Coturnix japonica: one gene and its partners. The protein of the gene in region 1 interacts with the protein of each later gene in a biochemical or structural test. Links are inferred from orthologs where the notes say so. Each region holds a gene or a part of one and is shown in the gene's direction. Other genes may lie near its edges. The genes, in order: MAPK1, DUSP3 and DUSP1.

Region 1 (3,746 bases):
GACATTTAAATGACAACTTGTCCCGTGGGCTTTCGGCTGTATGACACCAGTTCAATCAGGCCCAGGTAGGTTCTGATTAGAAGTCATTAGCATCTGATGCTCTTTATGACTCTCTTAGGATGGCTCCCAGTGGATCAGAGCTCATATCCGAGCAATTTCAGTTTGTGTCACATTCATCACCATGGTTGCTGACTGCCTTAGAAGTTAAAATACATCTTTATAGAATGCCTTACATGTCTTACTTCTCTTTCTTCTCCTCCAGGCAGAGGCTTGAAGTCTCCTTAAATAACACTTGGAAAATTGCTTTCTGTACTGGATGTCTGCATTTGGTTTGGACGACGGGGCACTGGGAGCACAGCACTGAGCACAGCACTGAGAGCACAGCACTGAGCACAGCACTGAGAGCACAGCACTGAGCACAGCACTGAGAGCACAGCACAGAGAACACAGCACAGAGCACAGCACTGAGAGCACAGCACTGAGCACAGCACTGAGAGCACAGCACTGAGAGCACAGCACTGAGCACAGCACTGAGAGCACAGCACTGAGCACAGCACTGAGAGCACAGCACTCTCCCTGCTTCTCCCAGGCCCCTTGTTTCTTTTACTTGTTACCTTTAAGTTTCCTTTACTTGTTTCTATAAACTACCTTTAAGTTTCCTGCATCACTGTTCAGTTTGAGTTTTAGCAGAGAAAACGAAATCCCCAAGAGCAGCACTGTGGGGCAGCTGTTTGTGCTTTTTCTAAGCCCAATGATGCTGTTCATTTTCTTCTCTCCACTCGTCATTACCCGCCGTCATTTCGTGGTATCAGCATCCCCTCAACATAACGCCGTGTTTCAGCCATCAAACCAATGACCTGCTTGAGACACCTTCCCATTCCTTCTGTCACTGATGCTTTAATGTCAGCTCAGACAGACGGCCCGGCCCGGCTGCGTGTGACAGCACCGTGTGTGACAGCACCGTGTGTGACAGCACCGTGTGGGCGCGGGAACGCGCACGTAGCGCCGGACACGGAGCCGCGGGAACGGCTGCGTGTCCGGCCCAGAGCGACGCGCACGGAGCTCGTCCCCGCACGGTGCTCGTACCCGCCGTGCTCGTCCCGTCCCGTCCCGTCCCGTTCCCCCCCATCCCGGTCTCCATTTCCTCCCGCCATCACCTGACTCCTCTAATGGCGGCGCTCGGAGCGGCCGCGCCCACCACGTGACCCGCCGCCCACGTGACCCGCGCGCCGCGCCCCCTCCCCGTCGGTTGCGGTTACCGCAGTCCGAGGCCCCCCCGGTCTCGCCCCGCCCCCCGCCCCCTCCCGTCCCGTCCCGTCCCCGCTCTGGTGGCGGTGGTTGCTCGGCGGGTCGGTTCGTTCCGTTCTCCGCGGCCCGTTCTCCGGCCGGTGCTTCTCAGCGCGGTGTGGCGGAGCCGCCTCCTTCCTCCTCGCTCCCTCCTTCCCGTCCCCTCCTTTCTCCTCCCTCCCCTCCCCGCACGCAGTCGCCGCGGTTCCCGGCACGGACAACATGGCGGCGGTGGCGGGGGCCGCGGCCGCGGGCGGCTCTACCGGCACCGGGGGCCCGGAGATGGTGCGGGGCCAAGTGTTCGACGTGGGGCCGCGATACACCAACCTCTCGTACATCGGAGAGGGGGCGTACGGCATGGTGTGGTGAGTACGGCATGGTGTGGTGAGTACGGCATGGTGTGGTGAGTACGGCACGGGGTGGTGAGTACGGCATGGGGTGGTGAGTACGGCATGGTGTGGTGAGTACGGCATGGGGTGGTGAGTACGGCATGGGGTGCTGAGTACGGCACGGGGTGGTGAGTACGGCACAGTGTGCTGAGTACGGCATGGGGTGGTGAGTACGGCTCGGGGCGCTGTGTGAGTGCGGCCGGGAGCGGCCCGCGCGGCCTCGGGGCGGGGCAGGTGAAGGTGAAGGCCGGGCGGCCGCCGCTTGCCCTGCCCTGGGCCCTGCCCTGCCCCGCTGTGCCCTGGGCCCCGCTGTCCCTTTGTGCGGCGCTCACCTGGCTGCTGCTGCTGCTGCTGCTGCTGCTGCCCGGGCCTCCCGCTGCGGCTGCGGCCGGGTGGCTCCGCTCGGCCCTGCCCGGCTGGCAGGCGGCGGCCGGGCCGTGTGTGCGCGTTCTGCGCCGACCGGTCCGAGCTCCGAGCGCCAACCGCGAAATGCGGGACAACGATCGCGAGATTTTGGCGTTGTAGCAGCGGCCCCGACGTGCCGGGCCGAGCCGCGGTGCTGCCGCTGAGCTCCGGGCTGGGCCGGCCGTGCTCGGCTCGGGGCACCTGCTCTGCATGGGCGGCTGTGGATGGGAAACGCAGCTCCTCGTTGACGGGCCCATCGCGGCGCTTCCCGGTGTGTTGTGTGACCGGAGGTGCTGTGTGACACTCGCAGCTATGGTTGTGTAGCAGCTTTGCTTTCTCTCTCTGTCGGTTCGTGCTTTGTAAACCGCAGTGTATCGCTCAGCAGAGCTGCCTTGCTGCCTTCAGCTGCACGCTGTGGATCTGCAGGTTTCCTCTCGCAGCTGTGGGGATGTGCTGCTCCGTCACGGTGAGGCCGAGCTGTGTTGGTGGGAGCTGGAGCCGCTCCTGAGCTGCTGGGGAGGCAGACAAACATCTGCCAGGAACTTTAAAGCTGCGGCCTTTGCTTTTGTGTTGTGGGAAGAAGCTCCAGCACATAAACCAAAAAAAACAAAAGCTCCCGTTGATGGTGTAAAAATAACCTTGTTATTGGTTTAGTGCTGGAAGTCACAACAACGGCCCGTCCAGAGCTCGTGTTCCAGGTGTTGTTATTGTGTGCCTTTATCAGCGGAGCCGGGTGGCAGCTCGCAGCCCCAGCAGAGCTTGGTGCCCGCAGAGCGATCCAGGCAGGAGCTGTGAGCAGCGCCGTGCCGTGCGGTACCGAGGTGGTGCCGCAGCCGGCTGCTCACGCTGAGATGTTTGTGCACGGCGCAGTGCGGTGGCAGCTGATGCCCTTTTTTGGCGTCACCGTGATTGGGAGCAGACAGGGAAACGGGGTCCTTCTCTTCCCCTGCACACGGTGTGTCACTCCATTCTGTTATGGAAGGGTTTCCTCTCTGAAACTGTGGAATATTATCGTCTGTTTGGAAACTTGCCATATTAAATGATATTCTGCTTCAAATGCTATCTGTATTTCTTAACAAAAAATTCTGAATCTCCAGTTTAGTTGAGATATTCATTTGGCTCCTTTGTTTTCTTCTCTAAAGCTGTTGGTGTGAAATCCTGAACGTGATACATTGCACTGTAATTATTGATCTTCTGCCTTGGGTGTGAAATGCCAGGGAACAAAGTCTCAGTTTATGCGTGTTTGACAAAGGAGGTGCTGGATGCACATGTTCCAGCTGAATGCCATAGCAACTGTCATGCCTTGCAGCGCAGCACACCGACTACTATGGTTAAGTAACAGTGCTTACTGAGCAGTGCAGGTAGAGCTTATGCAGATTCGTACTGCGTGTCCCGGGTCTTGCTTTGACTGTAACGCAGTGCAGATCTGCAGAGCATCTCCCTTCCGGGCTGGGGTGGCAGAGGGCAAAGCCACAGGGTGCAGGTGGAGACAGCTCCTGCTATTGAAAAGCCATTTAGGTTTGTACTCTTAAGAAAGGACAGCAAGGCAAGCGTTAATGGCTTTGTTTTAGGCAGTCAGCTGATGTGTATGAGACAGAAGGTGCTGGTTATTTCTAAATGCATTGTGCTGTAAGGCTTGCTATATGCAAAATGGGTGGCTTAACT
Region 2 (3,746 bases), on another chromosome or scaffold:
TCCTAAGGGGAAAAAGAAAAGGAAACACACACAAGCAGCAAAAAAAAAAAACAAGAAGAAAAACAAGTTTTATTCAATGATTGCTAAGTTATGTCCCGAATACTCAAACCCACAAACAATAAAGAGGCAACTTAGTTCAGGTTATGCTTACTAAGCAGGTTATACTCCAGTGTATCCATGAGCACACAGATACTAAAGTCAAAGCCTCTCCTTTACTTTGATGCTTGGTACATGCATCGAAGCCTTTATTTAACACTCTCCAAGCACCAGTTTTCCCTTCCAGCTCATCAGCAGCCTCTCCCAATGGTTGTTATTGCTGTAAAGCACCTTTTACCAGCTACACAACCTGCAGAGGTTTCCATTCCACAGCAAAGAGGCACATCCCTGTGTGGTTATGAGGTTTCCTATTGCCCCCAGCAAGGCTCTGCTCAGAACACAGCCAACACACACAGTACAGCCCCTATAGGAGACCTCTATATCAAACGTACCCATATTGCAAGCTGCACCGTGTGGCCATTCACCACCATCTTCTTCACTTTAAAATCAACACCTAAGATGCAAAATAAGATAGGGAAGGCTGTGGGATGTGGAAGAAGAGGGGTGTCTGCAGCTCCTCACTGCCATCCCCCCATGGGATGGCTCCTCACAAGCCCCCATCCCCTCGCACCCAGTGTCCCTTCATAGCACTCCCTATCCCCACAGCACCCTATACCCTCCCAGCACTCCCCATCCCCATACACCCAATGTACCCTCATAGCACTCCCTGTCCCCCCACTGACCCTATATCACACCCAATATCACCCCAAAACCCCATAGCCCCCATTCCCTCACATCCCCCCCCCCCAATCTCGGCTCACATATGGTCGGTTTCAGGTTCGGCTCGAAGGAACCCTCAGCGAACCTCAGCAGGAGGCTGCAGGAACACAACACCGGCACTCAGCATTGAGATACACAGCGAGGAGCTGCAAGTCCAACATCGACCTAACCCAACCCGACCCGGTCCGGCCCCACCTGGACTTCCCTACGGCGCTGTCTCCGATCAGGATCAGCTTCACAGTGATGCCGTTCCCGTCCATGTTCATCCCGGTACCCGCACAGTGCCCGCTGTCGGTCCGCTCCGGCGGAGCAGCTACTCCAACTCCTCCCCTCGATCGGGCGGTACCGGGCGGGGCGGAACGGGGCGGAACCGATCAGCGGAGCTAACGGGGCCGTACATACGGCTTGGCCTGGCCATGTCCGATTACAGGATCTCGGTAGAGGAGCTGAACGATCTCCTGGCGAACGGCAGCGGTTGTTACAGCCTGCCCAGCGCTCACAGCAACGAGGTGGTGCCGCGCATCCACGTGGGGAACGCGTGAGTGCGCCGGGCTGGGGCCGGGCCGAGGTGGGCGGCCCACGAGGGGCTGCGAGCAATGGGAGGGGCCCCCCGGCTGCCCCCAGGGCACCCCCAGCCTCCCTAGGGAGCTACGGGGACCGGCAGGGCTTGGCAAGCTATAGGGCCAGAGCACGGCGCTATACGGGCTCCTATGGCACCCAGCGGGTGCTGCCCATAAATGGTACCTGCTGCAGAACCCGGCTGAGGGTGGAGGGGTTGAAGTGCAACTCAGAGTTCAGGAGTGAGACACGTCCGTCCCGTGCTGGGTTTGAAGTTCCTGATTTCTTCTAAGTCCTTCTAATATTGGGGGGTTTATTGGTGTTTGTAAAGTGTGGGAGGCAAAAGGATATGGCCAGCCTCTTATCAGCGGTCTCTATAGACAGGACAAGGGGAAATGGGCACAAACTGGAGCATGGGAAGATCTGCACCAACATGCAAAAGAATTTCATGGTGAGGGTGATGGAGCCCTGGAATGAGATGGTGGGGTATCCTTTTACAGAGATATTCCAGCCCCATATGGATGCCAACCTGTGCAGCCTGATGTAGGGGGCTGTTTGTACAGGGAGTTGGACTCAGTGAAGGTCCCTTCCAACCCTTGCAGTTCTGTGATTCCCCTTTTCCTTCCTATCCTTGCCCACAGATATCCAAGGGTTGAGATGACAGGGCAGCAGTAGCTGTTGTGCACACAGAGCTGCTCAGGCCTTGTGTCTGCAGTGCATTCCTGTATCCCATTCTGCTCCAGCATCTGCTCGTGTCAGCTCTGTGCTCAGCTCACGTCTCCATTTCAGCCTTCACTGCACAAACATTAGGATCTCTGTGGAGCTGCTGTATGGGGGGGGGAGCAGGAGAATAAGGCGATGCAGTTGTTTGCTCTGACAAACCTCCACGCTCTGGCTTGGAGGGATCAAGCACTGCCTGCAATGTGAGGCCTTTCCCACAGCTACCAAGGGCAGGGATTTGATATCAGAGAATATATGGAGTAATGACATCCACAAAGAGTTTTACCTACGAACGACTCATCCTTGGGTAAAAGTAACAGTGCTGAGACATTCAGGAGGGTGAGACTGAATGGGGTCACAGCGTGGGATGGCAATTTGTCTATCAAGTGCCACGTCTCCCATGGAAGGTATCAGTAATGCAGACACAGAGGTGAAATGACAGAGCTTTTGTGTAGCACAGCAGACAGGTTGTAAACTTCCATAGCGATCAAAGAGTTCTGAAGATGAGTCAAAGTGTAACATCGCTAAAACAAGAACTATTAGATTCGTTCACACAAGTGTGTTTTTCAAGCAGACAATTCAGATGATATCAGAAGTACAAATAATTTCCTATCACTGCCAAAATCAGGATGCAGTTGAGTGTAACCTTGTAGTCAATGAGCGGAACAGCTGGACAGAATGCATCTTCACCAGGCTTGCAGAGCACATAGCTGGGTTTTCTGGCTGTTTAAATGTGTATGGTCAACCCACAAAGCAATTCTTGGGGCTCAAAGTGCAGTAAGGAATCTGAAAGGCATTCTCCCCAAATTAACATTAAATTGAGTGGTAAAGGAGCAATTTAGTGAGAACATAACAGTAGAAAACTGTCCTGTCGGGCAGTTCTTGCTCCATATTATAGATGTGGTTTATTTGCTTGGGTGAGTGGATGCAAAGCAGGTTCACATTGATCCCAACCACAATCAGATATGCATTGCTCCTTGTGCCATGTGCTCACTGCATTAAGCAGAGGGACTCACAGGTGCATTAACACATGATAGGGTGATGGGTGATGGTGTTTTGGCCTTGCTCTGTAGTATTTACTCCTGCATTGCAAGCAGAATTCCCTGGGCACTGACACTTGTCCCCTGGCACAGATGATGTCCTGCCAGATGGAAAAGATCTGTCAACATTTGTTTGGGTAATGAAGTCTTTACAAATGCTTGGCCCCTTGCCGCAGTTGTTTGGCACCGAGAGGAGATGGAGAAACTTCACTCATGCATAAGGATTCGTGCATAAGGATAACTTAAGGGGTGAACGATCATTGGGAGAAAAGGAATGCTCTGCTCTACATGTTCACATAGCCTTGAATTGGGTGATAACCATCCCATGCAACCATATAGTGTGATAACATATATCTTACTTTCTGTGTTTCAAAATGCTTCTGAGAAGCAGCATTGGTGGCTTCCAGCAGAGGCTGTTTGTAACTGGTTCTTAAATTAACATATGGTTAATTATGGTTATGGTTAATCATAGCGTTTCTGTTATCCCCTGTATTTTCTTAGTATGGTCAGAATTGAATGGTCTGGGTTAGAAGTGCCATAGTAGGGAGTGGAGGATTGAAGCCCAGTGTTCTCTGTTCAGCTGTCAGCCAGGAAAGGAACATTCTCTGACAC
Region 3 (3,746 bases), on another chromosome or scaffold:
CCTGGAAAGCCCTGCAGCACTGAACCTGATGAGGTGCCGGGCTGGTTTTAGGTCAGGATGGATGAAGATTGGTGGAAACTGGTGGAGAAGCAACTGGAAAATTCGAGAAGGCTGAGAACCGACAGGCTGCAGGGCTGGGGGATGGGGAACTGTCAGGGGGGTGGGAGAGGATGGCTGGGGGATCTGGGGTGAAGAAAGGAAGTCTGAAAGGAAGTGATGAGAGAAAGCTGCTGAAAGCTAGAGATTCTGAATGGTGCGAGGAAGGAGCAACGCAGGTGGAGCAGGCGAAGAGGGATTGCTGGGAAGGGACTGGGGGAGAAGGGCTGAAGCCAGGGATGGTGCTGGCGTGTGGGGCAGGGGAGAAGTGCTGGGGAGGCAGGGGAAGTGAATGCGGCGCTGACGGGAAGCGGAAAGCAAGAAACAGCTGAGTGCTGCGGTGGAAGCTGAGCGCCCACGGGGAAAGGCAGACTTTTGGGAAGTGCTGAGACAACACCAAGGGGGGAAAAACAGAGCTCCAATGGCTTCACTGCCGGGTACTGGGCTGCCCTGACTGCTGGGGAACCTGCTGTGCGGAAAATGAACCTCCCCAGGTCTACTGCGAGATTATCCTTACATATGAAACATGAGAACAGCTCTCAGATACGTTTACATTATACATATACATGCAAATATACGCACACATGTGCATATATTGATGTGTAGATGTGTCCGTACACGCATATATGCCTATGCACAAACACCAATCCCTGTCTGTGTGCGCTTATCTCTATGTGCTGCAGGAGAACCTGTAGGACTGCTCCCACGCCTGCATCCACTCACGGTGCTGCTGTTGGACATGTGAACACACTCACATACGTGTGTGTGTGTGTATATATATCCATGGTGTGTGTGTGTGTGTTTCGTATTTATATAGCCATGGTGTGGATGTTTGGTTCTCGGATATGTATATATCCATGGTGTGTGTGTGTGTATATATATCCATGGTGTGTGTGTGTGTGTATATATCCACGGTGTGTGCCTGTATGTAGAGAAATGTGATAGCTTTGGGTATTTATATGTGTGTATAAGTGTGTTTATGCACTTGTATGTGTATATATATCCATGGTGTGTGCCTGTATGTAGAGAAATGTGATAGCTTTGGGTATTTATATGTGTGTATGTTCAGGCACGTGTAACATGTAACCCTATCTATGTGTGTATGTCTATACTCTTACACACACACAAACCAGCGCGCCCCCGCGCCTCTCAGTTCGCGCCGGCGCGCTCCCGCGCCGATGACGTCATACCGGCGGTGCCGGGGCGCGCCCTGTTTGGCGCGCCTCCAAGGTGACGTCTGCTCCCAGGATCACGTGACCCGGCCCCATTGAGAAAACGGCGGCGGCGCGGCGCGCCACGATATAAGGCGGGTGGGTTCGCACGGGGCCGCGCTGAGTCGCGTCCAGCCGCGTCTGATCCCGCTGTTCCGCGAGCTCCAGCGCTTTGTTTCCCCGCCATCCGAACCGGACGGAACCGAGCACGGGACCATGGTGAACCTACGTGTGTGTGCGCTGGAGTGCGAGGCGCTGCGGGGGCTGCTGCAGGAGCGCGCCGCTCAGTGCCTCGTCCTCGACTGCCGCTCGTTCTTCTCGTTCAACGCCGCTCACATCCGCGGCTCCTGCAACGTGCGGCTCAGCACCATCGTCCGTCGCCGCGCTAAGGGCGTGCTGGCCCTGGAGCACGTTGTACCCAACGAGGAGCTCCGCACCCGGCTGCGCCAGGGGCAGGTTCACACCGTGGTGCTGCTGGACGAGCGCAGCGCCGACCTGGAGCTGCCCAAGCGCGACAGCACGCTGCTGCTGGCCCTCGGCACGCTGTGCAGGGAGACCCGCGGTGCCCGCATCTGCTTCCTTAAGGGTGAGTGCGCGGCCCCAAAAGCCGCTGCGGGATGGGGTTGGCCGTATCGCCGGCTGAGGGCTCTGCCCGCCCCGCTCCACGCCGCGCTCACCCCGCGCCTCTCTCCCCTGTGCCCCGCAGGAGGATACGAAGCGTTCTCGGCCGCCTGCTCCGAGCTGTGCACCAAACCCGCCGCCCCTACCGGGCTCAGTCTGCCCCTGAGCGCCAGCAGCGCGCCCGGCAGCGCCGACTCGGGGTGCAGCTCCTGCGGAACCCCATTGTACGACCAGGTGAGTGCGGGATCCGGGCTGGGGCTGCCCCGCCGCTCGTGGGAGAAAGGACGGGAATCGTAAATCCGCCGAGCGATGTTAACCGGGCATCTGCCCCTTTTGTTTCAGGGCGGGCCGGTGGAGATCCTGCCGTTTCTGTACCTGGGCAGCGCGTATCACGCCTCCCGTAAGGACATGCTGGACGCGCTGGGCATCACGGCGCTAATCAACGTGTCGGCCAACTGCCCCAACCACTTCGAGGGGCACTACCAGTACAAGTGCATCCCTGTGGAAGACAACCACAAAGCCGACATAAGCTCCTGGTTTAACGAGGCGATTGATTTCATAGGTAAATGAGCTTTCCCTGCGATCCTTTTGTCTCGGATGACGTCCCTTCGGGAGTGGCTTTTAGGGCATTGTGCTCCCCAGCGCTGCCTGCGTTTGGGATCGGGGAACCTTTGTTTTAGGTGTTCTTAGGGGATGCGCCCATCACTTTCTCTGGGCTGAGAGAGGGATAATCTCAGCTTTGCCAAACCATTAGAAACCTCGAGCCAAGAGAAATGGTATCCTCTAGAAAAGTGCTAGTGAATTTAAGTGGATCAGTATTAAAGTAATCTTGCAAGACTGCTAAAGTGACCCGGAGGAGCTATTAGTATAATTGGAATTGGAGCCCAGAATGAGAATAGCTAGACTGCAGCTTCCCTCAGGACAAAGGCTCTTTGTCTCCAAAGCACAGGGCTCACCTATTGGGCTCCTAAGGAGGGGATGAAACAAAGAGATGGAAAGCAGCAGCCTTTGCTTTCCCACCTCCAGAGGCAGTGGGACTTGTTTGTTAACTGGGCGTTTTAATTCTTTCAGATTCTGTTAAAAATGATGGAGGAAGGGTATTTGTGCACTGCCAGGCTGGCATTTCCCGGTCGGCGACCATCTGCCTCGCTTATCTCATGAGGACCAACAGAGTCAAGCTGGATGAAGCCTTTGAGTTTGTGAAGCAGAGAAGGAGCATCATCTCCCCAAACTTCAGCTTCATGGGGCAGCTGCTGCAGTTTGAGTCGCAGGTTCTTGCCCCCAACTGCTCAGCAGAAGCTGGGAGCCCTGCTATGTCAGTATTGGACAGAGGAGCATCGACCACCACAGTCTTCAACTTCCCAGTCTCCATCCCTGTTCACACCTCATCCAGTGCTTTAAGCTACCTTCAGAGCCCCATCACCACCTCCCCAAGCTGCTGAAAGGCAGGCAGAAGCGTGACCAGAACTCACAATTCTTGTCTCAGAAGTGCAATAACTATGGGGACAGTATCATCAGCCACTTGTCCTGTGGGGAACCATCCACTTGTCCTAGAACGCTGTTGTACACACGAGGAGCTCAACCAGTGTTCTGTGTGTTGCTGGCTCCTGAAGCCAATATTGGGATGCCTACGCAGAGATCAGAGGATGCTGCGTTTTCCTGAGCTGTTCCCCTTGTCTTCTGTTTGTCCTAAGCCTGCTGCATGTTCAGTAGCCTGCTCACCAGTATTCCCATTCCTGGACACTTTAAGCAACACTGATGTTGTCCCCTTTCACGACAGTCCTATTTATTTATTTTTGTTAGTTCATTGTTTTGCCT

Evidence for each region.
Region 2: of the proteins of MAPK1 (region 1) and DUSP3, one has a biochemical effect on the other in vitro, tested with the Homo sapiens proteins (2 studies listed by BioGRID and IntAct). The link is inferred for Coturnix japonica from reciprocal best matches to the Homo sapiens genes MAPK1 and DUSP3.
Region 3: of the proteins of MAPK1 (region 1) and DUSP1, one has a biochemical effect on the other in vitro, tested with the Homo sapiens proteins (2 studies listed by BioGRID and IntAct). The link is inferred for Coturnix japonica from reciprocal best matches to the Homo sapiens genes MAPK1 and DUSP1.

The regions. Positions count from the first base shown.
Region 1 is NC_029530.1:386,008-389,753, forward strand, and holds the start of MAPK1 (mitogen-activated protein kinase 1), read left to right. Parts: upstream 1-1,285; 5' UTR 1,286-1,509; coding exon 1,510-1,652; intron 1,653-3,746. UniProt on the Homo sapiens protein: Serine/threonine kinase which acts as an essential component of the MAP kinase signal transduction pathway. MAPK1/ERK2 and MAPK3/ERK1 are the 2 MAPKs which play an important role in the MAPK/ERK cascade.
Region 2 is NC_029542.1:2,873,771-2,877,516, forward strand, and holds the start of DUSP3 (dual specificity protein phosphatase 3), read left to right. Parts: upstream 1-1,232; coding exon 1,233-1,354; intron 1,355-3,746. Other genes in the region: ras-related protein Rab-18-B-like, read right to left, coding at 1-2, 489-550, 858-913, 1,012-1,082. UniProt on the Homo sapiens protein: Shows activity both for tyrosine-protein phosphate and serine-protein phosphate, but displays a strong preference toward phosphotyrosines. Specifically dephosphorylates and inactivates ERK1 and ERK2.
Region 3 is NC_029528.1:10,950,944-10,954,689, reverse strand, and holds the start of DUSP1 (dual specificity protein phosphatase 1), read left to right. Parts: upstream 1-1,382; 5' UTR 1,383-1,523; coding exon 1,524-1,893; intron 1,894-2,013; coding exon 2,014-2,162; intron 2,163-2,270; coding exon 2,271-2,490; intron 2,491-2,999; coding exon 3,000-3,370; 3' UTR 3,371-3,746. UniProt on the Homo sapiens protein: Dual specificity phosphatase that dephosphorylates MAP kinase MAPK1/ERK2 on both 'Thr-183' and 'Tyr-185', regulating its activity during the meiotic cell cycle.